Oryzias latipes: one gene and its partners. The protein of the gene in region 1 purifies or fractionates together with the protein of each later gene. This does not show direct contact. Links are inferred from orthologs where the notes say so. Each region holds a gene or a part of one and is shown on either strand. Other genes may lie near its edges.

Evidence for each region.
Region 2: the proteins of gnl2 (region 1) and krr1 purify together in Homo sapiens (affinity purification with mass spectrometry; 3 studies listed by BioGRID and IntAct, with this or other methods). This does not show direct contact. The link is inferred for Oryzias latipes from reciprocal best matches to the Homo sapiens genes GNL2 and KRR1.
Region 3: the proteins of gnl2 (region 1) and ubiquitin carboxyl-terminal hydrolase 36 purify together in Homo sapiens (affinity purification with mass spectrometry; 3 studies listed by BioGRID and IntAct, with this or other methods). This does not show direct contact. The link is inferred for Oryzias latipes from reciprocal best matches to the Homo sapiens genes GNL2 and USP36.
Region 4: the proteins of gnl2 (region 1) and rpl35 purify together in Homo sapiens (affinity purification with mass spectrometry; 3 studies listed by BioGRID and IntAct, with this or other methods). This does not show direct contact. The link is inferred for Oryzias latipes from reciprocal best matches to the Homo sapiens genes GNL2 and RPL35.

The regions. Positions count from the first base shown.
Region 1 is NC_019874.2:23,617,992-23,625,968, forward strand, and holds the start of gnl2 (nucleolar GTP-binding protein 2), read right to left. Parts: upstream 4,868-7,977; 5' UTR 4,728-4,867; coding exon 4,664-4,727; intron 4,306-4,663; coding exon 4,221-4,305; intron 4,114-4,220; coding exon 4,019-4,113; intron 1,338-4,018; coding exon 1,198-1,337; intron 722-1,197; coding exon 537-721; intron 437-536; coding exon 370-436; intron 1-369. UniProt on the Homo sapiens protein: GTPase that associates with pre-60S ribosomal subunits in the nucleolus and is required for their nuclear export and maturation.
Region 2 is NC_019863.2:1,178,950-1,186,920, reverse strand, and holds the start of krr1 (KRR1 small subunit processome component homolog), read right to left. Parts: upstream 5,257-7,971; 5' UTR 5,206-5,256; coding exon 5,130-5,205; intron 3,218-5,129; coding exon 3,042-3,217; intron 2,087-3,041; coding exon 1,952-2,086; intron 1-1,951. UniProt on the Homo sapiens protein: Part of the small subunit (SSU) processome, first precursor of the small eukaryotic ribosomal subunit.
Region 3 is NC_019866.2:10,400,759-10,408,030, forward strand, and holds part of ubiquitin carboxyl-terminal hydrolase 36, read right to left. Parts: intron 5,802-7,272; 5' UTR 5,789-5,801; coding exon 5,536-5,788; intron 5,451-5,535; coding exon 5,229-5,450; intron 3,557-5,228; coding exon 3,446-3,556; intron 2,681-3,445; coding exon 2,578-2,680; intron 2,498-2,577; coding exon 2,430-2,497; intron 2,291-2,429; coding exon 2,220-2,290; intron 2,102-2,219; coding exon 2,019-2,101; intron 1,908-2,018; coding exon 1,796-1,907; intron 1,078-1,795; coding exon 937-1,077; intron 759-936; coding exon 658-758; intron 583-657; coding exon 444-582; intron 363-443; coding exon 1-362. UniProt on the Homo sapiens protein: Deubiquitinase essential for the regulation of nucleolar structure and function. Required for cell and organism viability.
Region 4 is NC_019867.2:28,011,209-28,019,258, forward strand, and holds the start of rpl35 (60S ribosomal protein L35), read right to left. Parts: upstream 4,821-8,050; 5' UTR 4,702-4,820; coding exon 4,699-4,701; intron 4,251-4,698; coding exon 4,114-4,250; intron 2,898-4,113; coding exon 2,816-2,897; intron 1-2,815. Other genes in the region: golga1 (golgin subfamily A member 1), read right to left, coding at 6,760-6,840.

The DNA of each region.
Region 1 (7,977 bases):
TCAAAAGAGCATGCAGCCCCCATTTATTATAAACTATTATTTTAACTGAAAAGAAAGATTTGCGTTTCCAGAAACACTTTTGTTTTGTGTAGAATAATATAATATTATGGCTGTACTGGCCATGATGATAGTTATTCATTTGTACCAGATGGTACTAACATTTTAGAGCAAACTTTCTCCCGTAGTTTGTCTCCAACAAGCAAAAACCAGCTTTTATTTTTAGATAGTTTGTATCAAGGCAATTTCAATAAACTGTTGTGTAAACACCCTGTTTCACTTAATTGCTGAGCATTAAATTGATTCCAACAACATTTTGTTGTCATTGACCACTTTTTTCCAAAATGAAAAACCTTTAAAACTATAACAAACCTTATAAAGTTCTCCCCAGATCCTCTTCGACTGACCCTTTTTGAAAATCTCTTCTCTTGCTTCTTCCCTAAAATCAGTAAAGGAACGGGGAAACAAAGGATAAAACTGCCCTCAAACAAGACACTTTGACAGCTTCTTGAAGTATTCAGAGTGAGTGGAAATCTCACCGGACTCCTGTGTCCTCTGTTACCAAGTCTTTGTCTTGGTCGGAGTTGTAGCTCAGTGCTGATGCCTCTGCTCGTTCCAGAAGATCCTTCACGTCATCCACCATAAGACTGGGTCTCTTCCTCTGAGCCTTGGGTCCAAATGTGGTTTCAAAGCCTTCTGTGTCTAAAATGTGGACTTTAGAGTTCTATGAATACAGATAAAACCATTCTTAGAGCATATCCTATTCTATTAATCAACACAAAGAAGAAAGAAAAGATCAAAATAAGCAGGACGTCATTTGTTTATCCCGGCCACAAAATGATTTGTTCACGACTTTTTTGTATTAATTGCTCAGACAGAAAAAAAATGATGTCGTACTTCAGCCCCAGCCTTGTTACTATGCGTCACAGTAACTGTTCATGGCAGAACAAAAGGACGAAAACAAATGACAAGCAACCATAATCCATACACAACAGCAGACGACAACAGCCTCAGAAATATTCAAACCATGTTCCTACATCAAGGTCCTCTGGGTTTATTTGTGAACATTGTGCCAAAATATGGAAAAATAAGACTTCTTTCCCAGGAAGGGAGGGGAGAAAAGTCATTTATTGTATTAAGAAATACATAAATCGGAAGAGGCATTGAAAGGCAAAAGAGGCTCAAAGGCCTCCGACTCACATGGGCTTTGACTCTGTCGTGCAAAAGAGACATAGGCAGTTTGCTTTGCTTCATCACAACACGATACGGGTCCTTCTGCACAGCCCCCATTTCGTCCTGGAACTTTTGAAGAGACGACTGTTTGATCACCCGGGTATTTGCTGAAACACAACACCAAAGAAATATTTAAGTTAGACTCCTTTGGATTTCTTTTTAGACATAATTACAATATAACTGATTAGTTTCTTCTGTTTCCCCTCACTCAGAGAAATAATAACCAACTTTTAACTGATAAAATCTCAATAAGAAGTCAGCTGAACTTCATTTTTATTGTTGGCCCTGCGACAGACTGGCAACCTGGGCAGGGTGTACCCTGCCTTTGCCCAACAGTAGCTGGGATAGGCTCCAGCAACCCGGTGATCCTAGAGGGGATTCTGTGGGTTTGGAAGAAGACGGTTTATTATTTTACGATGAAAGCGCTACACTGAAATGTAACCAACTTTTCTTGCGGCGTTTTTTTCTTCAAAGCTATTTTGCACCATTTTGTGTGGAGGGAGGTCTGACATAAAGAGACATGTTTTTGTGTTATTGTGTATGTCACGTTTGGTCAATTAGCTGTGACTTGGTAGCCATGATGTTTGAATCATAAATCATATTTTAGGAATCTTAAAAACGCTTGTTTGAACAGCAGTCGATTCTTGTGATTAAAAGTCTTTTAGATTGAAGTTGGACTACGGCCTCAAAGAGCATTTCCTGATAAAAACAGCACCACAAAACTTTGGAACTATTATATCATACTATGTATTTTAGTCACATAACACCCGATTTTAAGCTGTCATTAAGCATCTCTATTACTTAAATTTGAGCTAATATGAAGAAACAAAGCAGTGTGTTGTACAGGTGAGAATTTAAGGCTGTATTGATGGCAGTCTATTCAATAATTAACCAGTTATTATCACTTCCATTTCTTTCAGCTCCTCAGACTTCACACAGTCTATAAATGGACGGAGATCAGTTAGGCTCTTGGTTGCCCAAAGAAGATGAGAGGAACAAACAGAAGGTCCAAGTTGAAAGAGGGTAAAATCTCACAATGTCCCGTGTGAAACAATGACGTCAGGTCAACCCCTGAACTGCAGAATTTAATGATAAATGACTAAAATAAAATGTAAAAACAGTAATTTATCTGCACATATTGGTTTGACACAACTCAATTTTCAAGGGAAAAGGAGAATATTTCTCATTTCGGGCGGCCATGGTGCAGTGCTAGGGCGGTCGCTCCCATGATTGTAAGATTGCAGGTTTGATTCCCTACTAGCACGCCCATGTGCTGAAGTGTCCTTGGGCAAGACACTGAATCCCACCTTGCCTCTGGTGGGAGGTTGGCACCAGTGTTCGGCAGCGGAGCCGCCACCAGTGTGTGAACGTGTGTGTTCATGGGTGAACGGGTCTGTGACTGTAAAGCGCTTTGGGCCTTATTCGAAAGAAGGTAGAAAAGCGCTTTATAAGTATACGCCATTTACCATTTAAATTTGAAACATGCAGAGCACACGCCTCAAAGTCTGACGCTGTGGTTTTTGACTAGTAAAACGATCATTTACCCTCTCCAGATTGATGGAAAGGTCATGCTCCAACTACAAGAGTTTAAGTACCTTTCTTGTTGAGGTCTCTCACTTAAATATGAGGGAAGCATGGAGAGTGAGATTGAGAGAGTCATAGATGCAGCGGGTGCAGTAATCCAATGGCAGAATAAGGAGGGGCGCTGAGCCAAAATGGGCGAAACTCTCATTTTACTGGTCAATTCATGTTTCTGCCCTCACCAATAGTCATGAACTTTGGAAACAATAAATTCCCAGATACATGCAGCCAGAATGGGCTTCCACTGCAGGGGGACTGGGCACCTCTTTAAAGCAAGAGTCAGGGGCTCAGCCACACAGAAGGAACTCGGAGTAGAGACCCTGCTCCTCCACAGCCACAGAAGCCAGGCTGGGACAGCTCTGGGACAACCTCTGCCTCCTGGATGCCTTCCTGGGGAAATAATCTGGACGTGTCTGGCCTGGCAACACATCCGAGTCATCCTGGAAGGGCTGGAGAAAGTTTCTGCCTTCAGGGCATTTCTGCCGAGACCAGTGATGGGCAAACCTTTTGACTCCTGGGCCACAAAAGGTTCTAAAATTTGATGCATGGAGTGTTTTGGTAATCCATCTCATTAAAGAAGGAAATAACATGGTATCTGGACAAAAACATGTTTTAATTTAGATTGAAAATGAATATACATGTTTTAAGACAGAACATTGTGGAAGTTTTCTTTTGAAACTGTGGCTTTTGTTTTTATTGTAGTGCCAATTACACCAATGGGTGGCTGTTCCTCAGGTGAAAAAAAGCAAACTTAGAGAAATGCTGCATTTATGTGGTGTTGGAATGATCGGAAAAATATCCGCTCCACACAGAAAACGCACATGACCGTAAGAAAGACAACAAGCCTTCCAACACCACATGAATGCAGAACAACTGTCTACACCTAAACAAAGCTCAACCTATTTGTAGTGCACCGTTTATGGGGACACTCCAGAATTGAAAATTAAACTTTAAGGATTTATCAATATAATTTATTCCATCTTGGTGGGCCAGATTAAGTAGTTTAATAGGCTGCAGTTTGCCCACACCTGGCCCAGACTGTTGCTTCTGTCTACCAGGTTATTATTATTTTTCAGCTATTTAAGCTAAATAATAAATGCTCATTACAGCCTAAATTTCAAGCCTTTTTTTATAGCTTCCATGATTTTTTTATGATACAATTTAAGACACACAACATTCACATATACAGCATGAAGATGATACTTACTAAACCACTTGATGTTTGGCTCAACTCTGGCTACAGTTCCTGGAGCGACTGTAGATTGATACTGTAGGGGTTTGATCACTTTTCCATGTTTATTACTGCGAACAGAAACTCAGCATCAGTGTGAACAAAACCAATGATTAAAGTTACAATAAATATCTATAGAGAAGCAAGATAAATAAGATCCCTGTTGAGAATCAATTACCATCTTTGTTTCTGTCTGTACATATTCAGACGCTTGATTGTGGCTCGGTCCCTCATGTTGTTCCCACCAGCTCCCTTTGCCCGATCTGTAAAACGCACAAGATGTAGTCAAGTTATTCCTTCACTAGTGAAACCTGTATCGGTTTTTCAAACATGTCTAATCTATTGTCCTAACAACAACATATATTTTACTACTAGAGAAGATTGTTTTGTGTTAGTTCACTTCAAGTTCAAAATGTCAGAAAACTTGACAGAATTATTCGGTTAAGTGCAGCAACAAACAGTCCGCTTTCTCAAATTAAAGAAGTAAAACGTATGTCTGCTTTAGCTTGGTTGACACTTAAGCTTAGCAATTGAGCCGGCAAAACGTTTTCTTTACTCGTTAGCCATAGTAGTTAGCATCGAGTGTAAACAAACGTGTGCTAGCTCTGTGCTTTAGCTCACCGGGGTTGCTGCTGGAAGATGAGGGATTAATCGAGCATTTCCCCTTAAACTTCGGCTTCACCATGTTGAAAACTTCCCTGGCAAAGCCTACCAGAAGAAAACCGAATGGAAAACCTGAGGACTATGTCCAAAAAAGAAAATTTAGGCACTATGTTCTGTACACGTACTATTTACACGTGCTAGAGTAAAGAAAAAGGAAGTGGCGTCATAGAAGGAGCGACAGACGATCTAGCCAATCAGAAAGCTCCTGGGATTTTCCATCGTGCAAATGATGCTCTTGTGTTTTTAGGATCGCAGCTCTATAAAGTGTAAAAAAAAATACTAATAAATTGTAAAAAACAAAAAAAAAAACATCAACATTTTTTACAGTCACATCTAAATTATGAAAATGTTTAAACGGGCATCAGTAAGGTGAAATCTTGCAGATGAAACTCACTTAAATCACATTTTTCTGTGCTTTATGAGTCAATTAATAATAATAGGTCATGCCGCAGTTAAAATAAAGTTAAACACATTTGATTAAATAGTTTATCTTTAGCTATGTTTTTATGATGATTATGCATACTCAATTTACTCAGTTCAGGCTCCCACCGTTTTTTGACTGTATTAAATTCAAGAAGTTTTTTTCTGCAGCTGTAATAAAAGGCAGTTTACAAATGTGTGACACCTGAATTTTACAAAAAAGCAGAATGCTAACTTAATTCCTATGGTGTCTTTAGGAATTTCAATTTTAATTTTTAATCTTACTTCCTTTCTCTCAAAAGTTTTACTTTGACTTTTAAGACAATAGAAGCGATTACTGCACAATGACCTTTCTGTTGTTTAAACTGTAAAATGTTCCCCCACACCATAAAAAGAAGTAAAATTCTATTTATAAAATAAATATCCTAGAAGTTATTAGATCAAAACAGCCAGTCACAGAGGCCACAATTATTTAATAAAAAGTGTTACAAGTTGTCGGTAAATCTTTTAAAAAATTGGAAAGAGACCATCCGGCACTTAGTTTATGCAGCTGGGAGGCAAAGGAATGCTCTCTGTTCATTTTCTGACAAACGAAAGGTGATTTCACTTTATCTATAATCCTTTTGAAGGAAACTGTTTTGGGTCACTATGTTAAAGTTCAAGCAGATGAAACCCAATTATTAAAAAAATATGAATTTGAATAAATTTTTAATGTTAAATTTAATCTTATAAGATGTTTTTTTTAAGGTTATTCATGCAGCGAGGAAACAGTTGTCGTTTCTAATTTTTTTAAACTTCAGAGACGCTGTAATTTTTTAAAGTATTATTTACAGTCCCCACAACAGCAGCAGACAATCTAAAGCCCCACCGCCCTTCCCGAATGTGTTGCTTCAGTTGCTTCCTTGCATGAATTTGCATGTGTTTATTTTTTTAGTAAATCATCAGATCCCATAATGTCTGTCAAATGCAACACATCTTTGTGACCATCTGTTGAAAACCCCTCAATGTTAGCACTGTAAAACTGTAGCAAAACAGTAAACTAGTAGTCTTTTTTTGTTTTTCTTTTCCTCAGTTTGCATCAATATGAAGTATTTCAGATGACATCTTACACAACCTGCTCTTAATCAGCTTTCCTCAGAGTGACCACAGCCAGTATTTTTCCTCTTCATTCTGCGATTGAACATTTTTTTCTGCTGCAGAACCAAGTTGTTGGCTAAGATCCATATCCTAATTCATGTAAGTATGCCATAAAATATATACCAAAAAAGTAAAGCATTTTCAGAGTACAAAATTTTTTAACTGGATGTTAACATGCTATTTACGATTGTTTACATTTAAAGATCCAGCTCTGCTGACGAGCAGTTTTAAACTATGTAGAAAGAAACAAACAAAGATAAAATACTTAAAAATAGGAGATGTGTATTTCTTTCATAAAAATTTAAAAAAGGCAGCTGCTTTAGGAAGTTTAGGTATAGCTGGTGTGATAATTTGATATGTTGCTCCCTTCTTCTCAGTTTTGAACTTAAAAGATGGAATTAGTCTTTTTGATTTTGATTTTTTTTCCTTTCCAGAGTACTGAGCAAAGGATGTTTGCATGGTAAGAATAAACCAAAAAATAAAAGTATTGCATTTTATTCTCTAATATACAAGTGGTGATAAATGTTTTATATTTCTTACCTCTGAACTTTTAAATCAAATTTTTATCTAGATCAAAGACATTTTGAATACATTGAATTACTTGTATATTTTTTCTGAGTTTTGTGCCATTGTAGAATGCACGCCAACTAACAAGTTTTTTAATCGTGGAAGAATCAATATGGAAACGCTCAAATGAGTGTGCTTTAAAAGATATTTGTCAGGAAAACTGTGAAAATCTAACGAGCTTACTACAGCAATAAATTCACAGAAAGCTGTAAAACCACAGCACTAAAAAGAAAAAAAAACTGTTTTATTGTAAACAATCTAATTAATCAATTACTTCCTTACGGTGCCTGCATAAGAATTCAATATGCTGTGGCAGGAATTACAAACATTTGCTTTAATAACCTTTGCACCCTCTCGTTCCTCATTCCCGTAAGGGCGAAGTGCGAGATGTAAAAAACGTTAGTGGCTAAAGTCCTTCAAGTTTTTTTTATTCTTTATGCTCATGATTTATAACACACTAGAGCAGAAGTCAGTGAAATAGGTTTAGAGTGACAAATGTTTCTTCACAAGTCAGTGACAATGCATTGAAGCTGCACAACCACCCAAGCAAATGTGTGCATTTGTGGATAATGCGTCTGCCTTAAGCACTAGGTTTGTCTCTGCTCCCAGTCAAAAGTGGAACAACAGTGAAATGACAGAGCACAGGCTCTGGTGGGCCTGACTAAACAAAAAGAGAAAAATTGATGAAGGGCTTAGGGGTGCTCCCCTTTGCAGCCTCACTGTTGAGAGCATTTGCAATAGAAAAACCAACATTTCTGCGATGAGTGTTCCAAGGCTCAGATGGAAGGCTACTGAAAAACTCAGGGCTGACATTGTGGTGTCAGGAGCTATTCTTTCTGTCTTTTACAGTTGTTATTATTTTTACTGGAACTGATGCAACTGAAACTAAAAATTATTTTTACAATGCTCAACAAAAAAGCAAAAATTCAACTTTGTGGTTGTAGAAACTATTGTCCTATGGTTATAAAATTCACAAGCTCTTTTTAAAATATAAACAGTTTGTTTGCTTTTCATTTTAAGCATTTCTATTGTTATTTAATGTTTTAGTACGCCACATTTGAAAGGTTTTACTTAAGTTTAAATTTCAAGGACTTCACAAACATTTCATAGCATCCTTTGGACATTTGGTGCCTTTTCTCATTAAAGAA
Region 2 (7,971 bases), on another chromosome or scaffold:
TTTATTTAAAACCCTTTTGGATAAGAAACGTTGAAACGTCTTCTAACTTTAAAAACAAAGTCCAGATGACAGCCCCTAAACCTACTACTATGATGTATCCAAAGAGCCCAGAACAGCCTCCAAAGACATTAAAGGTGAACTCCTAGATCAAGGTACATCAGTGTCAGATCGCACCATTCATGGTTGTTTGAGCCAGAGTGGACTTCATGGGAGACGACCAAGGAGGACACCACTGTTGAAAGGAAATCATCAAAAAGCCAGACTGGAATTAGCAAAAATGCATGTTGACAAGCCACAAAGCTTCTGGGAAAATGTCCTTTGGACAGATGAGACCAAACCGGAGCTTTTGGGTAAGGAACATCAGCTCTATGTTGGTAGACTCAAAACTGAAGCATCCAACCAAAAGACCACTGTCCCTACTGTGAAACATGGAAGAGGCTCAGTTCTGTTTTGGGGCTGCTTTGCTGCATCTGGCACAGGGTGTCTTGAAGTTGTTCAAGGTCAAATGAAATCTCCCGATTATCAAGGCATTCTGGGTAGAAATGTGCTGCCTAGTGTCAGAAAGCTTGGTCTCAGTCTCAGGTCATGGGTCTTCCAACAGGACAAGGATCCAAAACACACAGCCAAAAACCCCAAGAATGGCTCAGAGAAAAGCGTTGGACTATTCTGAAGTGGCCTTCTATGAGCCCAGATCTGAATCCCATTGAACATCAGTGGAAGGAACTGAAACATGCCGTTTGGAGAAGACACCCATCAAACCTGAGACAACTGGAGCAGTTTGCTCATGAGGAGGGGGCCAGAATACCTGTGGACAGGTGCAGAAGGCTCATTGACAAATACAGAAACTGTTTCATTGCAGTGATTGTCTCAAAAGGTTGTTCAACAAAATATTAAGTTATGGGTACCATCATCTATGTCCAGCCCTATTTCATTAGTTTGTTTTTTGTCAGTCATTTATTTGAATAGGGGGGACAGCGCATATTAATAAACATTTCTGTCAATATGCCAGAGTTAGCCAAAGGGCTATTTTTCATCTGCAGTCCCTGGGAAGATGTTAAAAATCACCCTAAAAGATCAAAGTAAAATTACATATTTACATAACATTACATATATATATTAAACAATGCATTCAATAAAATAAGCAGTTAACCTAAAATCAAATTAATGATAAAACAATCCAAAAACAGAAAAATGTAAGAACATACGTGCACATAAAAGACATGACAGTAATGAGGATCAGTGATAGGAAATGTACTCAGTGTTGACAGCTCTGATTGTCAATGAGCCATTTCTTTAATTGTGTCTTGAATAAATGATATGTGTTTTGATTTCTGATACTAACAGGTGTGAAGTTCCACTCAGTAGCAGCTCTAACAGAAAAAGCGGTCTGACCAAAAGTGCTTTTTCTGAAGGGAATGATACAGTCTCCTCTGACTGCACTCCGAGTTCTGCTGTGATCTGCTGTCCGGATGTTAATAAACTGGTGAAGAGGAGGGGATGAGAAGCCATGAAGGATTTTGTACATGAGACAGAGATTTGAAAATTTGACCATGTTGTCCCAATGCAGTAAACCATGTTTTTGTAATATTGGACAATGGTGAAATATGTTGGGTTTTTTATCCAAGGTTTTAACAGTTTGTTTGTATAATGTTTGGACAGGTTTTAAAGATGTATTGATGTATTAAATTTTTTAAATGATTCTATTACTTAACAACTCAAAAGTAATGGCTGATTTTGATTATTTGATTTTTAATACATTTTAATTTGTTACTTTTGAACGTTTCAAGTCATTTCAGTGAGCATTGTGGACTTTAATTCTTTAACTGAGGGGGACCAACTATTTTGTCCACCAGTGTAAAAGCTACTTTTTCAAAACAATTGGTTAAATCTAATTTTTGAACAGTTGGTTAACAAAATCAGCTTTAATGAGAGAGGACTCTTAAGTCTTTACCTGCTCAAACGGGACGCTTCTTGCCAGGAGCTTGATGAGGTCCCTCGCTCTGACGATGGCGTAGGGGTCAAAGGTTTTCTTAGTGGTGCACACCGTCATGCTGCCTTCGATCAGGTCCAGAGAGGCTTTGATGTGCTGAGAGACAAAATGAGCATCACTACACCAAACCAAGGCAACAATTTTAGGACTGGTTCAAAAAATCCAGTTTATCCAAAAACCAAAAACCATCTAGAACACATGTGTCAAACTCAAGGCCCGGGGGCCAAATGTGGCCCTCCATGTCATTTTACGCATAAAATTAAAAACATTTATGTTTTTAATAAAAAATTTAAAAAAATTATAAACATTTATGCTCTTGCGGGCCGCAGCCCGCAAGAGCATAAATGTTTATAATTTCTTAAAATAAAAAATAAAAATTGGTGTGTGTTTATTCATATCTAGAGGGAATCAGACTTGAAATATCAGATTGGGCGACTATACATTAGGACTTAAACACTGTCCATATAACCTAACCTGACAGAATCAAATGTAAAAGGATTTATGATAGAGTAACAAGCAAACATATCTTTACTATGCAACTGTAATTGTCACTTTAAAAAGTTATGGTAATTAAATAAATGAGTTATTTAACATTAAGGAGTAGTTGCATTTATTTTTCATTACATTTAGTTACATGTATAAATTATATCTGGCCCTTTGAGGACAACCGCTATGCTGATGTGGCCCTCGGTGAATATGAGTTTGACGCCCCTGTTCTAGAACATATAAAATCTATTCATCAAACCTATGGATACATTTTTCTTTCAACTTTTTTGCTGTATTTTTTAGGACTGGAAAAAAATCTGTTGTTTTTAATGCAACAATGATTTTCCCTCTGAAAGTGTTACATTCAGTTTAAATCTCAAAAACAGTATATAAGAAAAACAAATTTGTTTTTTTAATACAGAAAATAACATATTTGTTTGATTGCATCAAATCCCAAGCCAAATTAAGCAGGCAGAAAAGTATTTCAGCAGAGAAAGCAGTCCAGAATATTGATCATCAATCTATCGAGCTGATTCGATTCCTTCTCTTCTGAGTTTTTACGTACAGAATCTCCAAGAGCCTTTTCCACCAGCGGCCAGCACTCCTTCAAGTACGCCTCTCTGTATTTAGGGAAGAGAGTTGCGAAGCTGCTTTCCTCCAGCAGGCCGCGGGGGTTATCCTCTCTGGAAAAGGCCGGTTCTTTCCATCCGTCAGGAACAGTCATGAGTTCAGCTTCTGCCCCTGCAGGATGCACAGGTCAGTCAAGGCTCAAAGACTTTTCCTCCCGACAGCGAGGACGACCAAAACGCCACAATACCTCAAACTTAAAGTGTTTCATGGAATCCGACGAACTCTGATGAAAGATGTATAAAATTAACTGGGTTAAAAAGATTCCTTGAAGTTCCACTTCGACCATCTTTTGTTCCCAGTGGTCTTTTAATTAGGATGACAGCGTTTTTAACCCAAATCCAAAAACCTGGGTTGTTTTTCTAGTGTCGTTTCTGCAGAGCGGCAGGAGTTCATTAGAAATTCACCTCTGAGTTGAATGGTTGGCATGAAAGAACCCCACCCCCACCCATCTGTTTACACGCCCACCCACTACCTTAATACCACAACCCCAACCGAACAAAATGGCGAGAAATTTTGGAGTAAATCCAGCCGTACAGTTTGGATCCAACTCCTGCGAGACCCACATGTTCTGTTGAGATGTTCAGAAAACTTTCTCTCAAATGAGCCACATTTTTCATCAATAATATGTTATATTGAACTCTTCACAACTTTCTCCCCACAGTTTGAGTGTGTGGAACAATCCTGACATTTTACACAAAAAGAAAATGTTTTTCTTGCCTGATTGATTTGTTATAAATATAAAAACTTTGAAATGGATGATTAAGTTGATGGTAACTACAGACTTGAAAGGTTGAAAACCAAATGGATGTTCCCCACAGAGAGATAAAGTGATGGTTATCAAGTCACATGGTGTACAAAGAGGCGTTTCCATCTGCTCCTTGTGAGCCGCTGCCCTGCTTGAATTGCAGCTAACTCTGCCTCAGTAGCTGCTGATTACCTGAATGGAGTTAGCCCAGTTTCTGATTGACTGAACACACCTGATCCAAAGAACAGGGTTGGAGACCACTTGTGTGCCATCATTACCTCCCACTTGAAATGAATGAAACAGAATGCCTTATTTCCCTTGAGGAGAGTACTCTCATTGATAGGAATTGTACTAACAACGTTCTGTTTTTAGTAATAGATGTACCGGTAGATGTAGAAAAGTCGATATTGGTTCATTATGAACGAACCTAAAATGGATCCAGGACATCTTAAACCAGAACTTCAAGCAGTGTGACTCAGAGAGAAATTCCTGCTACTGAACAATGCAGGTGAAGTTTTTCCAGATTTTTGAATTTCTTCAAGATATTCAAGTATAAATGAAATCTGTGTCCAAACAAACAAGTAAACTAGAATGAATGTCAAATCCATTCACATTCTAGTAAGTTTCCTAAAGTTCACCACTGTTGTTTTTCCTCATCCAAAGGGAACATTCTAGACACTGGATGGTCACATGACTAAGTGTTTCAACACATTGGACTGGAATGATGGACTGATCAGTTTTTGATGACATCACATGTGTGTTGTTCACTGTGATGCACTTGGTGGTTTTTATCTTATAGTGAAATAAACCTACCATGTCTCAATCTAAATGCTATTTCCGAAATTAACTACCATCAATTTATTTCATTTAAAAACTATTTCAAAATGGTAAAGGTCGATTTAATAAACAACTTGCTTCAGACATCGATCTGGTTGGATAAATAGATTAATTGACATCGATAATCGTTACATCCTTCATGATAATTTTGTCCGATAGAGGGCAGGGTAGAACAAAAATACGATATTTAAAGCTTTGTTTTTAACAAGTACATTTAGGAAAAGTGTTGCAGTATATGCAGATTAAGTCACCGAACAAACAAACTTAAATAAAGTTAACACAGATCGCTGAATAAATGACGCAGCCGCAGGCAGCAGTAGATCAAAACACGTTTTCACCGGACATGTGGCTTGTTTAACGTGGAAAGATCAGTTCCGAGTCCACAAAAATCAGCAGTTTAAGTAATATAACGGTAACCAGCTGCTTGACAAAGAAACCCACCGTCATATTTAGCTTTTGTGGGATTTTTGTCCGTTTTCGCTTCCTTCGTACCACTCTGAGGCAAAGAGGACGCCATTTTTTTAAGTAGAGCGGAAGTGACGCAGGAGCGTCACTCGTGTCTTCCTTTAGAAAAATGTCGAACCCGTTTCGCCCCCTAACGGACCACAGTATATTCCATTTCTTTCTTTTTGGGTTATTGAAATGCTGTAAAGCATTCAACCTTTTGTTTCCATGTTTCTCTTTATTTATTTATTTATCATAGCATCTTCCACCGTTTTTCGGCTTTAAACTCCTTCTACAAATTCTCACCAATTTTCACCTATTTTAAACCATTCTAGTATTAAAATGTTCTGCTGTTTCAGCTTATTCCAGCCATGAATTTTGGTCCTTCAAACCCTTGAACTTTTCAAAATATTCCAGGACTTCACCTTCATTGAAATACATGGAGAATCCTTGAAAACTTCAGCTTCTTTCAACCATTATAACTTCAACATACTTTTAGCTAGGGACACCATTCAAATGTTAAAATGATCACAAGGCTTTAGACTACAGCATCATGGGATGACGACCGTTTGGCAGTCATTTTGTGTTCTTCAAACTTTCAATAGTTCAACCATTTCTTCAGCAAATTCAGCTTTCATTTAGCAGTACAGCATTCAACCCTGCATTTTCTTCTGGAAATGCAGCTCCTCTAGTTTCTTTTTCTTTTTTTTATTAGAACTTCAAAAGATGACACACATATTCACATAAATAAAACAGAAATAAATAAAAAATGAAGAAAATGATAACATACAATAAAATAACAGTAGAATTGTAGTCTACAATACTTAGAGTGTCATGGTTTTGAGTTTGTTGTCTTGTTTTTCATCTTAGTTCTTGTTCTGTCTTGTTTTCTGTTTCCTGTTTTATTTTGAAAGGTCCTGTCTTGTCTTGTTTCTTGAGTTTTACTTCCTTTGGTCCCCATCAGCCCTGATCGTGTCCACCTGTGTCTTGTCTGCCCTGTCTGTATTTAAGTCTTGTCTTTGCCTTCCTCCTGTGCTGGTTCATTACCTCTGTTATGGTGTTCATGTCCTGTCTAGTCCATGGTCCTGTCTCTTGCCTCGTCCACGTTTCATGCCTCCCCAAGTAAGTTTTTGTTTTTGTTTTGTGAACCTGCTCTGCAGCGCTTTTTGTTTGTTTCCTTGTATTAAAACCACTAGTCCCTGATCCTCGTGCCTCCGCTTCTGCGTCTGGGTCCAACCGGCTCTCGAGCCTCCTCTACACATGACAGAATGAACCAGCCATTTTTTCTGGACCCAGCGGAGCGGGACATGATGCTCCTAGAGGCTTACTGCCAGGAAGCTGAAAGGACTAGAACATTTTGGATTTTTGATCAGGCCCAGTTTTCATCATCTCCCTGGAGTGGGAGCCGTCCAGATTATGCTGGGAGCCGTCTCGCCATGAGGGGGGGTCGACGTCGACGTCGTTCCCGCCGTCCCCCACAGCCACGTCCAGTGGTGGTCCCGGATGCACCACAACCTCGTCCAGTGGTGGTCCCGGATGCACCACAACCTCGTCCAGTGGTGGTCCCGGATGCACCACAACCTCGTCCAGTGGTGGTCCCGGACGCATCACAAGACCGTGTAAACACTTAAAAACATGCAAGAGAATTTTAAAATGAACTCTATAAAACACAGGCAGCCAGTGGAGTGATGCAAGGACTGGGGTGATGCACTCTCTCTTACGAGTCCCAGTTAAAAGTCGAGCAGCAGCATTCTGAAGCAGATGCAGACGAGATAGCAAGGACGGACTCATTCCAAATTAAAGTCCATCGCAATCATCCAGATGGGATGTGATGAATGCATGTATCAAGGTTTCTAAGTGCTGCCTGGAAAGAAACAATTTCACCTTTCCCAATCATCTTAAGTGGAAGAAACAGGACTTCACCACTGATTCAATCTGGCCCTCCAATTTAAAATCACTGTCAATCTTAAAAAGCAAAGTGGACTCACAAGGGCCACCAGGTCCAAACATTATGCCCTCTGTTTTGTTTTCATTGAAATATAAGAAATTCAGGGCCAACTGTACTTTTATGCCCTGTAGGCAATCCAAGAGTGCTTTAGCTAAGAAGCCATCATTCTTTTTCAAAGGTAAGTAGACCTGGCAATCATCAGCATAGCAGTGGAAGGCAACGTTGTGTCTCCGAAGGATAGAACCTAAAGACAACAAGTGGAGGGAGAACAGCAGTGGTCCTAGAACTGAACCCTGAAGGACCGCACATGATGGGGGGCAAGACGACTCAGCATCCAATATGCTCTCACAAAAAGACCCATCAGCCAGCTCCCCCGTGAACCGCCACCTTAACGTGGTGGGGGAGTTTGAGAGCTCGAGTGATCCCAGGAGCTAAGCTGTCTGGGGCTTAAGCCCCTGGCAGGGTCTCCCATGGCAGACAGGTCCTGGGTGACGAGCCACACAAAGAGCGGATCAGAACCCCCTAATGAAAAGAAACAACAAGGACCCGATTACGTCGCCTGGATTGGAGTCACCGGGGCCCCTCTCTGGAGCCAGGCCCGGGGTTGAGGCTCACAGGCGAGCGCCTGGTGACCGGGGCTTTTCCCACAGACCCCGGTCGGGCACATCACGAAGGAGCAACATGGGACCATTCTCCCATGAGCCTGCCACACATAGGAGACCTCAAAAGGGGCCAGTGCAAGGTGGTTTTGGTGGCAGTCGAGGTCATGGAACTTGGCATTTGGGATATGGAATGTCACCTCTCTGGGAGGGAAGGAGCCTGAGTTGGTGCGAAATGTTGAGAGATACCGTCTAGATGTAGTCAGGCTCACCTCCACACATAGCCTGGGCT
Region 3 (7,272 bases), on another chromosome or scaffold:
TTTGACTCAGAGGTGTCAGCAGAGGAGGAGTCCGACAAAGACTTGAATGAGGTAGATGCTGCCATTCCTCTGCTCTCCCCACCCGCTTTTTTATCCCCCTCCATCCGGCTGACCCCGTTGTTGGAAGGGGTGGGCGTGGTGCTGCGCGACTGCACCTGGCCCTGAGGGCTGGGCTTCTTCACCTTCTTGAAAGGCTCCTCAATGACGGTGGGCCCACTCCCCAGCTTTGGTGGACCGTTGGTAGCGTTCGTCCAGTTGGGGAGTCTTGGCTGCAGCTGAGCATTGCCACCATTTCTGAAAACGGGGAAACCCAAGCCGCTGTCCATGGACTGAATCTTCCTCAGCTGTGCAGGCTCAAGTTTCTGTCAGGAAGAAACGACTTCTACTGAAATAAACGTCCTCATTAACACCGAAATCCTGTTCATTCTTTTTTTCTCTTATACCTTTGTGACCTGTGGGGAGGACAGAGGCCCATTTAGGTTAGCTCTCTTAATCTGCTCCGACGATGCATTATTCTTCCCAGAATGCAACATCCCCGTCTTGGTGGTCTGTCCATCTGCAGTCTTCTTAGTTTCAGGGATCCTGCGTTACACACAAACTCTGGTTACTTTAATAGTACAGGAAGTGCACAGATCTTTTTTGATCTCACCGACTTACCTCAGGTAGAAAAGCACATATGCCTGCTGGTTCAAAACCACTTTGATGTTACTCGACTGCACCATTGAATCATTCATCTGGTACCACTGCCCGTTGCTTGCCTAGAATAACAAAAGTTAGAGAAAATTTTGATCCAAAGCAGCTGTTTAAATAAAAGCCAAACCGTTTATTAATCTGCATTTAAAACTATTTTTAAAGTTAAAAACTAAAAAATTAAACAGGTGACAAGCCATTAAGGTTGAAATCGTTAAATAATTCAGGCTGAGGTGGCCGACATACCTTGATGTAGCAGTAGTAATGGCCAGCATGACAACTGTACCCAGAATGCACCAGCACAGCATAGAGGCCATACATGACAGGATCACCGGAGCTCTGAGACATGTAGGGGCGGATGTTGAGGAATTCTGGGTATCCAACATCCTTTAAAAAAAAAAAAAAAAAAAAAAAAAAAAAAGAAAACAAGGAAAAATATTCAGAGCAGGAAGTAAAGTTGCTTTTTTTTTTAATTACCCTGTTGATAAAAAAGGAAAGTCTTTTTAAAAATATGGTAATTAGATATTCTCAAATAGGCAATGAAAATACGATTATTAAAAAAGCGCTGGTTAACAGGAGGGTCAATCTTCCGATTTACTTTGGACACCTTAAGTACATAAAGCATGATGTTGCTTTCAAACCTCCTGTTCTTTTGAATACCTCCGCCTATCTGTTCTTCATAAAAATGTCCAGTTATTAGCTTTGCTAATGTGGAAACTAATATGTCTGCAAAATAAACAGCAGTTTGCTGCCATCAATTTGTATTTAAAAGAAAAAAAGTTTTGTTGCTTGGATCGGCAACACTGGGGTGTTATGTGACTTCCACCTCCTTCATTTTGTTCACACATTTGCAGGTATAAAACTACTAAATATATATCCATCTTTAATTACAAAATCTAGTTATAAGTGGAAAAAAACAGGAAGTCTTCCTGGGAGAAATCTATATGCTAATTGGATATCTTATTACCAGATAACTGCTGTTGTGGCATAAAAGACACCAGATTATCTACGTACTCTTTTAGAAAAGTCCCCCACATAATGATCTAATATTTGGTGGACATGTTAACCCCCCCCTTTGTCACGGGACTGATATTGATCGGCTAACCTTTGTTATTTTTCCTCCACTAAAGTTGGCAAACCTCTTCAGCGACAAGGTCAGAACGTTAGATGTTCGATGGACGGTGAAGCGCTTGGTGGCCGGCACTTTCTTCTTGCACCTTTAAAAAAAAAAAAGAAATCACATTTGAATGAATAGATCCTTAAAAAATTGAGTTTTGTTTTATTCCTCCAGTCAGCGTTTAGTGTCAGGTCATGAAAAAGGAACTCACTTGGCGCACATATAAGCATTTTCTCCACTTAAAACATCTGGTTTAACAAACAGTTCCAGGGCTCGAACGATGTTTGCCGTTTGCTGGAAAACAACAGAACAATGTTCTTGAAGATCGATTTTTTTGTTTTTTTTTAATCATCCACTTTAATCAGCTTTACAAGAATAAATGAGGTTATTGTAGAAATATTGTGCTACACACCCGTATCTCCACAGCGATGTCAAGGTAAGGGTCATAAGTATCTGACACACTTTTGCAAATAGAGCACTTTACTGAGGAAAAGAAAAAAAACTTTTAGACATTAAACAACGTTTAGATCATCATCAGAATATTTAGAGCTCAGTGATGCATCACCATTGGTAAGAAAAAAGTCTGATCTAAGTAGAGAGGGTGGACCAAATGAACCCATACCTCTTGACCTGAGGTAACCTCCAAAGATCTGATGGACCAGTGTTGTGGCCTGCGTTTGCCGATCCAGCCTACAAGCAGGAAGAAATCCGTTGGTTCAAGTCAGACCAGCATTCAGGTTTCTCATGTAAAATCTTCTCAGCAGCCTTACTTGGGGTAACCGTTGAGACAGGCTTTCTGCATGGCATCGATGGTGTACCGCAAAAACTCGTGAGCGTCTTCCTGACTCCCAAAGCGAAAATGTCGGGCAATTTCTGTTGGAAAAAAACAAATGCATCACACGTTTTTGGAACACTGCACATAATAAGATCAACTGTTTGTAGACATACATAAACAGTGCAATTGCTCTTTAAATAACTACAAGCTTTTATATTGATATAATACTTTAAACCAACATTTTCTCAAGACACAACCTCAGATTACAAGAAAACTTCCACTGTTTTGTGTTTCAGAAATAACAGCCAAGCAGTGACTCATAACTCCGGCAGCCTTGTGTCCCATTTACAGTAAACGCCTCACATTACGGCTAATGTAGCTATAAACATTTGCTCCAATGTGATTTCCTAATGGTGAAGGCATCATTCTAATGTGATCCTCACATTCCCAGCACTGCATCCTTACTCACTGAAGATAATGGAGTCACCTCAGAGTGGGAAAACAGAATGATGCGCTTATGACGAATTAGTGAGGACGAGGGAGATGACTAAATGTTTTGCATTTGCTTGTTGCTTCTAGCTGCAACCATCAGTTGTGTTAATGTGAAAATGAGCAGCAGAGGAAGGCTAAAGCTAAAGCTGCTGTCCTAAACCTGCAGTCAGGAGGAGTCAGAGAGGATAGAGGGGGTGCACGACTGCAGCAGGACACCGGGAGAAAGTACGCAGTAGAGCAGTGAGCGTGAAGGTGAAATTCACAATTAATCCCAGCTCTCCACAAGGTTAAAAAGAAAAAAAAAAAGCTACCAGCTCCTGACATGGTCTACTTTTAAAACGAGTGGGTGAAAAAATGGAGAAAAATCGTACTTTTCAGGTCCCTGATGAAGGAAACGGGCTTGATGGCATTGCCGGTGTTAGCAAAGGTCTGGATGATGTGGTTCTGCATCACACAGATCATGCAGAAACCCGACTGATGACCTGGAACACACATGAGACGGTAAAAGTCACAAAGAAAGCAGCAGCACACTCATTTCTGCTTTCATCAAGTCTTTAGGATCATTTTGAGAAGAACAGAAAAACAAAACAAAATAAATTTATGTTACTTTTTTTTTCTTTGCCATCAGAGAAGTTCCTCTGTTGAGAAATAGGGTGCAGAAATCAACACCCAATGCAACAAAAACGTTTTGATGTAAAATTTATTTAGATAGTTAGTACGCCTGAATTATCAGCTAGGACTCACAGATAAAGCAGTTTTATATAAAATGTTAAAATGTGTTGCTAAAAAGGTCTAAAAATTGAATTCTAAATGCATCAATATTGCTTAGTATTATAGAGACACTTAAGTTGCAGCTTTAGTCAGCAGTTAAAAACAGAAAATGTCACTTTCTTTGCTTTTATTCGTTTACTTTTTAAGGCTGTTCTTTAAGGAAAAAAATGCTATGGACAGATTTTTTTCTGTTAAGAAAACTAAGATGCCAAACCTCTGGAGGTTTCACAAAATGTTTTGATAGCAGCAAATGAACACAATGGAGATAACTATCTTTACAGACTGTAGCAACAGATTGGTGTACAGTATCTTTTGGAGTATAGGTCACAATTTTTGTTTTTTGCCTAGTTTGGTTGGTCCAACATGTATGTACCGTAATTCTTTTTAAATGAATACAAACAACCACCAGAGGGCGCTGTAGTTGTGTGTGTCGGTGCTTGTTACTGCCAGCAAATAAGAAGCGCCGCTCAGTCCTCGACTACATTCACACGGACCTTGGCGAGGCACGATCAAGCAACCACTTCCACTAAAAAGGCTGCGTAAACGCGGGTTCCAGGCTTCCGCGCTCAAGTGTCACTTTGCACGTGTTTATGATCGCTTTCAGGCTCTTCCTACTAAAAACCGAACCATTACAGGTTAAACCAGGATGAACTTTGACCAATCAGGCACTTGGCTTTGGTAGTGCCTTCTGTGTTTTCAAAACACACAAATGCCAACCGTTTGAAAATCGATCTTGGAGGAGAAATTAAGAATTCCTGTTTGTGCCGGAATTCTGTGACACCACGTCTTTTACACATCCAAATAGAGCTGTGAAAGAAAATGCCTGGAGCAAGATTCACAAGATTTGCACCGTTTTGACATTTCTGATCTGTGGTGGATGGACATCCGCTAGAATCGGGTAGCGACAGTCCAATAAGACCGCCGTAGGCTGCAAGTTCTGGAACGTGCATCACACCAGGCATGGCGATAAAGAACTCAGTGGATTTAGTCATTTAAAGTGATAGAAAGAGTTTTGTTGACTTGTTTATGGTTATCTTAAAAATGGTTCATGTTCATTCAGCCCCACACTTTCTTGGTCAAGTTGAAGTAAACATTCTTTATAAAAGACATTAGGTCAGGAACATTTTGCCTCGTCAACAATTGTTGTGCATACACATTTCTTATTTTAAAATGAAAAGTTAGAAAATAGGCTTAATAAGAACCTAGACAAAATCTATGTACCCACCCCACCCACACACACTTCTTTTCATTGATTTGACCTCACCTCACTCAGCAGACAGACCATCCTGTGATCTTCAGCTACACCAGTTTGCAAAAACGCCACATTTGAGATCTCCCCGTCAGACTAATGTAAGCAAAGGGGACGCAATAGAAAGGACTCACAAGTGCGACTGTGCTCCTTTGAGAGTAAGTAGTTGGCGAGTGGCGGGGTGTAGGTGAGACACTGCACAGTGGAGTTGAGGAAGCAGGTGTTTCCGAGGTTGTGAAGGCCAGCTCCCACCCTGTACACGCGCTCCCACTTCAGAGTCAGCTTGTTTGCTGGAAAGAGCATCTTCTGCGGCGCGGGGATCCCGTCACTCTGGTTCCAGATCACATTTTCCGAGACTAACAAAGCAAGGAAACAAACTGTCAGCGCTCAACAGCCAAAGAAAATTTCTTTATCTAAAATGTTCAGTTTCACCAGCTTTACCTTGCCTCTTTATCGGAGCAGGCTCGGACGCCTTCTGCCCCGTGGCGCCCTCACTTCTGGGATTCAGAATCACATACTTGTTCTTGAGGCTGTCCAGCTGATAGGAGAAACCTTTGCTGGCCGGCTCAAACTCGATTTTCTGCAGGAGGACCTTCTTGGCAGACGATGCCAACAGCTTGTTGAGATCCCCGTCCTCACCAGAGTCCTTTCGACCAGGTTTCAACGCCTCCTTGAGTTTATCCACTATCGGCATCGTTGGACCATCACTGAGGAGAACGTAAGCCGGTGAGTATTATGGGCTGTTAAGACTACATCATTGCAATTGAACTACAATGTAACATTGACCCTTTGGTCCACTCAGAACAGTCTACAATAGGGTTGTGTACATTTCCCTCCCACAGCTTGTCACAGCCATTTCAACACATTCTTTGTGATCAATAAAAGTGTGACATTAATTTATTCAGGTTTTGTTTGCAGTGCTAGAAAAAAAGAGGTACCATGTGTTTAGTGCACACAACATCCCCCACTTTGGTTAACCTTCGGCCAATTAGAATTGACCCAACCTGGAAGACGCAGGCTTGGGATTGGACATCTTCGTCTGGCGTACAGTAGAGAGAACCTGACAAAGAAATGTTTCACCATCGATACAACCTTTTTTGTATCTGTGGCATTGAACCAATACTGCTGTGTTTTTTTTTTTCCAGAACTAGATGTATTTTGTTCTCCTTTACATCAGCGGTCCCCAACCCCCAGGCTGCAGACCGATACCAGTTCATTAAAAACAGTTTGTGCCAGAACGCAGAGAGAGAGAGAGAGAGAGAAAGACAGGAAGTTTGGACATTAAACAGGTCCATGGCCTGAATAAAGTTGGGGTCCATTGCTTTACACTCATGTATAACCTTGACAGGAAGTATGGCGAAAAAAAAGATTCCACCTTTTAACACTAGGGGGAGCTGTACAATGTGTAGGATCTAATGAGAAGACAAACAAAAGCTTTAAATAATTTAACATTTACAATAATTACAATTCTTCAAACAGACTTTTCCTTTCTTTATGATTTTTCCTTATGGCAACAGGAGATTACAAATAACTCAAATCAAAACCAGTTTCTAAGTCATAAAGCCCAAACTGATACTGTCTTTTCTGTTTTGATTAAACAAAAAAAGTGAGACATTTTCACATGTCTCTCAAGTTTAGCTGCATTTTATTGACTCTGAAAGCTTGAACGCTCTTTGCCTCATCAAAGCACATCTGATGCTGCAGCACAAACAACACGGAGGGTTTCTGAGGCCAGCTGGCGCCACGAATCACAAGTCAAAAAGATGGGGACTGAAGTGGAGAAGATATTGACAAAACCCCTTCAACCATGCCACTGTTTTTATGACAGTCATGTTTTCATTGAGATGCTAATAAATCACCAGAACAGCAGAAATAGACTGTATGCTGAGCTCTCAAACCTGGTTTTCAGAACAGCGTCTGTATTTTCTGCCAAACTGAATGCAGTGATTACTTTTCATTCAGAGTCCCTTTAATGAAAATAAGATTTCTCGATGACGCTGGGGGAGTAGAAACACTGCATCGTGCTGATTTTTAGGGGTATAATGAAGCAGCTCCCCAAGAAATGTGTTCGTCAGAGAGGGCAGTGACGTCACAAAGAGGGATGAAGCATGTATTGTATGCACAAGGGCACACTGACCTTCTCATGCTGCTGATACAACTAAGAACAAAGCCTACAGG
Region 4 (8,050 bases), on another chromosome or scaffold:
CAGGAGGACAACAATGACCAGTGAGATGACCTGACGGATCAGTGACCTGTTCTAACTCATGAGGATGTCACAGCAGCTTTCATTCAGTTGATGCAGTTCTGGAAGTTTCTACTGAGTGCCTTCCTATCTTGCTGGACTAATCAGCTCTTTAAGGGGATAAGTGACACCTAGTTCCTGTGTTTGGACGACAGAGCAGCTGAACCTGAACCGTTAAGGGCACAGTGGGATTGGGATGTTTGGTCCACCTGAAAACCCGTCTCAGAACCGGTCGGGTCACAACAGTATTTGACCAAAACGTACGGCCCTTATGGTAGATGTGATGACACCGGCCCCTGGACTTCAGATCAACATCAGAGTGCTGTAAGCTCCAGCCATGATGGATCTTTTCAGCCAATAGGAGTTAATGTTTCCCTCCAGCTGTTTTGGTGCACAGCTGCGTTCACATCAGGTATGTGACCCGCATTCTTGGTGTTCACACCGGACAATTCTCTTTTTCTACCATTTACTTATGCATGTCAGCCATTTACAGTCGGAAGAGGCTTTGTGCGAACTATCAAAGCGGTAGAAATCTTGCTCCGGGCTTTTTCCTTCACAGCTCCCTTCCACCACATCAACGACTGGGCGTTCTATTATTCTGGCCCAACACAAACCGCAATCATTTTCTCCTCCATGCAACACTACCCAATACGATTGGTCAAAGTTGTCCCTGGTTTAATCTTTAAAGTGTGTATATGTGTGTTTACATAGACCCTCATTGAAAGCGGCTGCTTGACTGTGCGCCGCAGAGGGCGGTGGACGCGTAGCATAAGATAACCCGTCGGCTCAGCCCAGCGGGTGTGCAGTGAGTAGACCCCTCTGTTCATTTCACAGTAGGACCGCCCTGTGAATTCTGTTAGAGGGGCAGGGAATGCTAATAATTTTCACACTTTCCTTTGGTTAGTTGCACACTGCGCTCTTAGGAGAGTTCAAATGTCTGGAAAATCAGAAAAATCTGTTGGTCCAGATCAAATCCTGAACCTTTCCTTTCCTTTTCCAGACTAAAGCTTGTACACAAAACAATGTGACCAAAGATCCCTTTACTCATTGGTCAGGGAGTGCGAGGACGGGGCAAAGCAGCAAGAGGCAGAAATTAAGGAAGTCCTGTGCTTTTAGGCTCAACAGCGTCAGGCTCAACACATTTTTAGTCAGGTGGAGACGTACCGGCAAGAAGACAGCTAAGAAGGTTCGCTGATGAGTGTTCATGACAAAAAGATTGTCAGGAAACAGTGAGAAGCAATTTGTCCCGCGTTAAAAGTTGTTTCACTATATCACATTTTAATGAGCTGCCGTGTCTCCTCGTTGTGGTGTTGTTGCATTGCTGTAACCCTTGTGCTATCGTAGGCACTTTAACATTGGGAGTTGGGTCATCTAGACCCACTAAACAGTGCTCTGAACCTTTTTTCTTCAACGATTTGTGATCTTCACTGGTGTCCATGAAATCTTTCCACCTTTATCATGGTAGGGAGAACACGTCAATGTAAGGGTGGGGTCATCTTGACCCCATAGGATAGCACAAGGGTTAAGACAATTCTGTTAAGGAACTACTAGGTAGCTTTTAGGATGACGTCACAGTGGTGCCTGTAGTGTGTGTGCTGCGTAACGAGACAAAAGTAAAAAGCATTTTCAGCAGTGTTAAAACATTCTAACAAATAGACAGTTTTTTTTCTCTGTTTGATAACACGACAATCACTGTTTTATATTTGTCCGCGGCTCATCTGTTGCTTCAGCCCTACTCTGCTTTAGTCGGCTACTCTTGGTCCAGTTATTCCGCTCCGGGGGACGGATTGTATTCAGACGGAGGAATCTCAGAGAGAACTAGAGCTCAGTCCGATTGGAAACTAACCGAGGCCATGACGGAAGGTGGGTCAGAGAGCGGTTCCTGGCACCTGCTTGGGTACATCAAGACTGAAAATTTGTTTTGGATTATTGGTGGTTCACTTTAAGCGTACCAAATGTGTTCAGTCTGAAAACGGCCTCAGTCGTGCAGTACTCAAAAAGAAAAAAGAAGAGAGTCCTGCTCGCCCTTTATACAGCTTCGCACTAAGCGTTTAACCACCAAACGTTTACCTGATTTTTTAATCATTTAGATTAGTGGATAGGTTTTTCCCCCCGAACATTTCTATGCATCGCGTTGACTTCGTTGATCGCCCCCCCTCTGCCCGGTTACATTCACCACTGTAAGTTTATCATATTAGGTTTAAGGGCTGTCATCTGGACTGGAAGTTTTCTGACTCCGCCCCCACGAGCGCATATAAACCAGCTTTTTTATCGGCTATTTCAGACTTGACAAGGCCTTTTGGATAAGATGGTGAAACAGCTTCTAATTTTAAAAACCAAGTCCAGATGACAACCTTTAAACCCACTACTATGATAGAGTCAACCTGGATGAATGACTCTTCGTGGACACCGTGAATGACACAGGGCAGCAGTTTAGTTCAGGTGGTAGAGCAGGTCGTCTAACAACCAAAGGTTTGTCGGATCAATCCCCGCTCTCCCCAGCCAGCTGTCGCCCCCCGAGCGCAGATAGTCTGCAGCTCACCGCTCCCCCCAGGGGATGGGTCAAAATGCAGAGAAGAATTTCCACATTGTGACAAAGTATCAATTATAATTATTAGTTAATCAAAAGCCTCCATGCATTCAAACGCTAAAAGTTTAAACTCAAGCCAGACTCTTTTCACTTTTTCTGATCTGCACCAGAGTCCGGGTGAGCTTCCACTCTCTGAAAACAAAGACCATCAAAGACCACAGTTGGCAGCGGTTTTGGGAGGGATCTCACCTTATAGAATTTCCTCAGGTTCTCCTTCTGTGTTTGGTTGATGACAGTCAGGACTCTGGCAATGGATTTACGCACAACGCGACTTTGAAGAAAAGAAAAGGTTGAAAATGAAAAGTTACGCTTTAGAAAACATCTTAGCAAGACAGTTGAATGTGACTTTACGAAGAATTATCACTTTAAATTAGGAAGGAAAATCTTTGGGCTGAAACTATAGTCATTTAGTTTCACAACGTTTAAGATTCAATACAATGATGTTCAAACAAATTATTTGTTTTTAGCTCAATTTAAAACCTTAATAGTTTAAGAAAAAGTAATTGAAAGTAAAATATTGGCATATTTTACTTTCAAACTATAAGTTGATCAATATTAAAAATAAATATTCACAATTTTTAAAGACCCACTCTGATGAAAATGATGTTTTTGGCATTTATTTTTTAATGACGGAGAACATTTATTACAAAAATTCAAGCTTAAAATAGCATTTCTGAGTATTTCTGTATTCAAATTGTTGTGAATTGGGAGCATATGAAAAATCAAGCCATTTTAAATAAAATAAAAATAAGAAAAGATCGCATTCGTGACTGAAATAAAACGCTGTGCATCTTTGTTTCATCGTCTGAGCTGCCATCTGGATCTAAACTGTATGGCTGATAGCTCCAATAATGCTCGCTATTTTGTTGTACCGCTAATGTTAGTTTGCTGAGGGGCTGTAAGCCAAAAAAATGCACTAAACAGCTCAGTTGTTGGGAAAAGGCGGCAGCGTTGCTTCCAAACGGTCCTGCCTACAACTCACGAAAATTTCTCATAAATTACTGCTTCTCTGCAAAAAAGAGAAAAACAAGTCCGTGAAAATAAAGTTTTTTGATTTAGCCTTAAAATGGCATAATCATAATTAAAATATGTTTACAAAAGATCAAAAGACGCTCAGAGTGGGTATTTAAACAATGTGTGAGCCTATGCCACTTACTTTTTCCCCCCATAATTTTCTTTTAACAAGAAAAATCTGGGGAAATTTTTTCTTTTCTTTCATTTTGTTGACCTTATAAGTTACTACTGAGGGTTGCTGGACATTTTTGAACATTTTGAGAAGACTGGAGAAAGGCTAGATGTTAAAGAGCAAATCGTCAGACCTAAAAAAACAGATTCAGGTAAGCTTTAGTTGCCAATTATCAACTCTAATTCGTTCACTAGGAGTCCATGATTCTTGAAGTAAACTATAAAGATTTCCGGAGTGGAACCATCATTAATAAATACAACGATTCAAAACCTCGTGGTACGTGTCAAGCACAGGTGATTACATTTTGGAGAGCTTGGAAGCGGCTCCTCCGGTCACTTTGGCCACACGCAGCTGGGACAGTTCATTCTTCAGATCGTCCAGCTGTTTCAGCAGCTCTTCCTTCTTCTTGCCCCGCAGATCTCTTGCCTTAATTTTGGCCTGGACGAGGACATAGGTGGGAGCAGGTCACTGTGCATGTCCGACTTAGGATCGCTAACACATTAACGCTAGTTCACGCTAAGCTAACACAGCGCGTCAACAAACAGCAGCTTTTGTCAATTATTCAACCAATCAAGTTAGTTTTTTTCTGAAACTTCCATAGGCGTTACATTAATAAAAAGTTAACTGTGTATGTAAACGAAGCTAGACAACAGAATGGGCTACTTTGTTCTGTAAGGACTAGCTAACATCTCAGCACAGGCGTCGTTCCGCCATAGCGCTCCGTTTCTATTAGTATTTTCCAAACTCTTGTAGTGAATAATCCATCGTCGCCTATACGAACTCAAACCCAATAACCTAAAGCACCTATAGAATGCATTTTCTGTCAGTTAAATGCGTGCTGAGAGGGGAAAAATGTCGTTAAGGGCCGAGTGCTCTCTTTACCCACCATGTTCCTCGTCGCCGCTCCGTTGGAAAGGCCGGACACACCGCGTGCTCGAAAAAAGTAGCTTCCGGAGGATGCGCCGCTCTCTCTGAAATACACACAGCGCCCCTTGTGGCGGGTAAGGAGTACAACCACATCAAAACCAAATCAGTCCTTCGCTTTTGACCCCGTCATCTCATGATAAAACATGAATCTAATCACACAATTATGACCCGAGCATACAGAAGGACCATTGTTTAAACGGAACGACGCGAAGAAGCTTAAAACAAAGGAAAAAGACCCATAAGAGACAAACTCAGAGGGCCAAAACACACTCTGCATGATGTACCTGTAGTGGTTTCTGCAAAGATTATTGTTATTATTATTACTATTGCTCTCCATTTTTGATTTTTGTTACACTAGTAATGTTAGATTGGGGTGGAAGGGGCTACAAGCTAGCCGGAGAGCATGTAAACAAAAAGCTCAGTTATGGGTGATGGGAAGGGGGCCCACAACTCAAGAGGGGAATTTCTGATGAACTACTGCCAAGAAACTATGTTCTAAAAAACGACAGTTTAAAAAAAAGGGGCTAAACAAGCATAATCATAATTTAAAAAAAATAGAAAACACTGGGAACGCTTTCACATTAGATCAAAACCTGATCAGAGTGGGGACTAATAAGCACAGCATTTTTTGCTTCATTAAACTCGCTTACAAAATGAACAGAGGTACAAGATGAAAAACAAAGTGAAATTAACATCTCAACCAATTTTTGCCCAAGAATATGTGTGGATAAACTAATTCATAGTGGATAAAGCAGTTATGGGAAATAAGGCAGCCCAAAAAAAACTAGATAATGTCCATGGGAAATAATTGTTGGGAAAAAAATTAATAAATCACACAAAGCCTTGTACATCCAATGATTTATAAAGTTTTCAAAGCTTGCCGTATATACATCTTTACATAAATAAACACATGGAATGTAAATTTATTTACATTAGCAAAAGCAGCTAAAAGTGGGACAATCCCCCACCTCAATCATAACCATAGCCTTCATTATTTCATCACATACCGTATAATTGTCTGAATAGGGTTGATTTAATTAGCTATAATAGCTATAGCATCTAGAATAGTTAGCAGGTAGTTTGGCATGATAAGCATGAAATCATATCCACCCACTGGGTTGACACCTGCTGGTTTTTGGTTTGTGATCTACCCAGATCAGCTGACAGAGGGTGGGCCAATTCGTGACAGAAACAGTCAAAACAGCCTCATAGTGTGCAGACACATTCAGATACCTGCAATTCAAAAAGTAGGCTAAACAGTTTGTAGCTCATCATACAAAGACGGTTCAACAGATGTTGGAATTTTAACTGTTAAAATAATGCTACACAAAAGACTGTTTCCAGTAAAAGGATTCTTCAAACGCCTCCCTAAAAACCAACATCAGAGTTTCTTCTGTGATATTTCAAGTATTCATTAGGAAAAATGTCACGGATTCTTAGCAGAATCCAGAGCATGAGAAGTAAAATATTGCCAGCTTTAAATCTCCACGTCTTCAGACAAAGTCAGGTTCCATCCTTTTTGTAAATGATGTGACTGTTGGACAGGTCCACCCTGCTGTTATTGGGACATATTTGCATAAAAAAGCAGTCTGCTATTTTTTTTTTAAAAACGAGTAAGAGAAACAAGCCCATGGAGCCATCTGTCCAGACATCCCAGTCACGCACAATTTGAACCAAAAGGAAGATTTGATGCAACTTCATGCAGTTACAGTGAGGGAATCCTACTCTCATTTGATGATACTAACACACTTTCCTGTCAATCGGTAAAAGGAAAGAAGTTATTTGTGTCACATCTCACAGCTTAAGTTGGATATCTGCTTCAGCTAGTGAGGAAATATTCGAATGAAACGATCCTGGATAAGCCCCCATTTCCCTTTAAGATATTGTGCAGCGCAGTTTCCGTCTCCCACAGACCGTTTGTCGCGTAAAGTCATTAAAAAAAGGCTCTTCAAAGTTTTGTTGAGTGATTGCAGTCACAACTAAAAGAAGCTTTGTTTCTGCTCTTCATCTTCCCTCCTCATCAGCTCCAGGGGAACGAGCTGCCTGAGATCGACGGCCGGATGATGCCTTTCGGGGTCGGCTTGGATCCAAACCAGGACATCTGAAACACGCAAAACAAACCAGTTTGGCTTTTTTTATTTTCTTTTAAAGAAAATAACCAGATTTTTCAATTTAAAGAAAAAATGCAAACATTTAATGTGACTTGACTACAGCAAAAACAATTGACCTCTTTACATAATAACATTACATAATAACATTCATGTCAATAACTTGACATGAATTAAGATAAGATAAGATATTCCTTAATTAGTCCCACGATGGGGAAATGTCCTTATTGCGGCAGCAGTACAGGAACAGAGAGCAGTATATAAAAGAAAAAGAAAGAATTAAAGACAAATAATTAAATAAAAACCTTGACGTTTTGAAAGTGAAATTAATCCAAAGAAAGAAGCAAAAGAAATGTTTAAGGCTTCGTATGAGCACATTTTTTTTATCACCATTTCCAGATCTTAAATCTAACCCCCTATAGAGGATTTCAAACAAGATCAAAGTGAAATTATTGCTGATTCAACCTTTTTTTTCAAGTATTCATTAGGAAATGTCACAGATTCTTTGCAGAATCCAGAGCATGAGAAGTAAAACTATTCAAACAGTTAAATCTGTTTGTTGGAACAATCTTCCAATGGATCCCTGCCAGGTTTGTATGGCCATTACAACAGCATAACTAAGTTTTTACACAATTTTAAACCAAAAGTCTTTTGATACATTTACACGTAAAATGTTTTTTATGGTAAACATGGATGTGAGCACATCTCAGAGGTCACTCCGGGAGAGTTGCAGAAAAAAGGGAAAGAGTTCAGGCCCCCTCATCAATTATTTAAGGAAAAACCTATGTATTCAAATAAAGTAAAAAACTGACATCTAAAAACCTTTCAAAGACTTTAAATTCAAGACTTATTCTGGAGAAAAATGCCAAACAAAATGGAATTCCCTATCCTTGTAAAGCTACGTTCACTCTGCCCTCAGCAACGCGCGTTCATGCAACCGTATTCTATAAAGAGTCTATTTAAACGTGTGTATATGTGCATTTGGAGCTTCAACGTTCAAAACTCGGACATTCACGCATCGCTAATTTTGAACAATCATTTTTTGGTACAAAACACATGGCCTCTGAAGGTGTGTTGAGAGTCAAACCAGTTGAACTTTGATCCATCAGGCACTCGGATTTGGCAGTAACAGTTTTCATTCACGGAATGAAACCATTTGAAAATTTATCATGGAGGTGAAGTTAATAATAGCGGTTTGTGTCC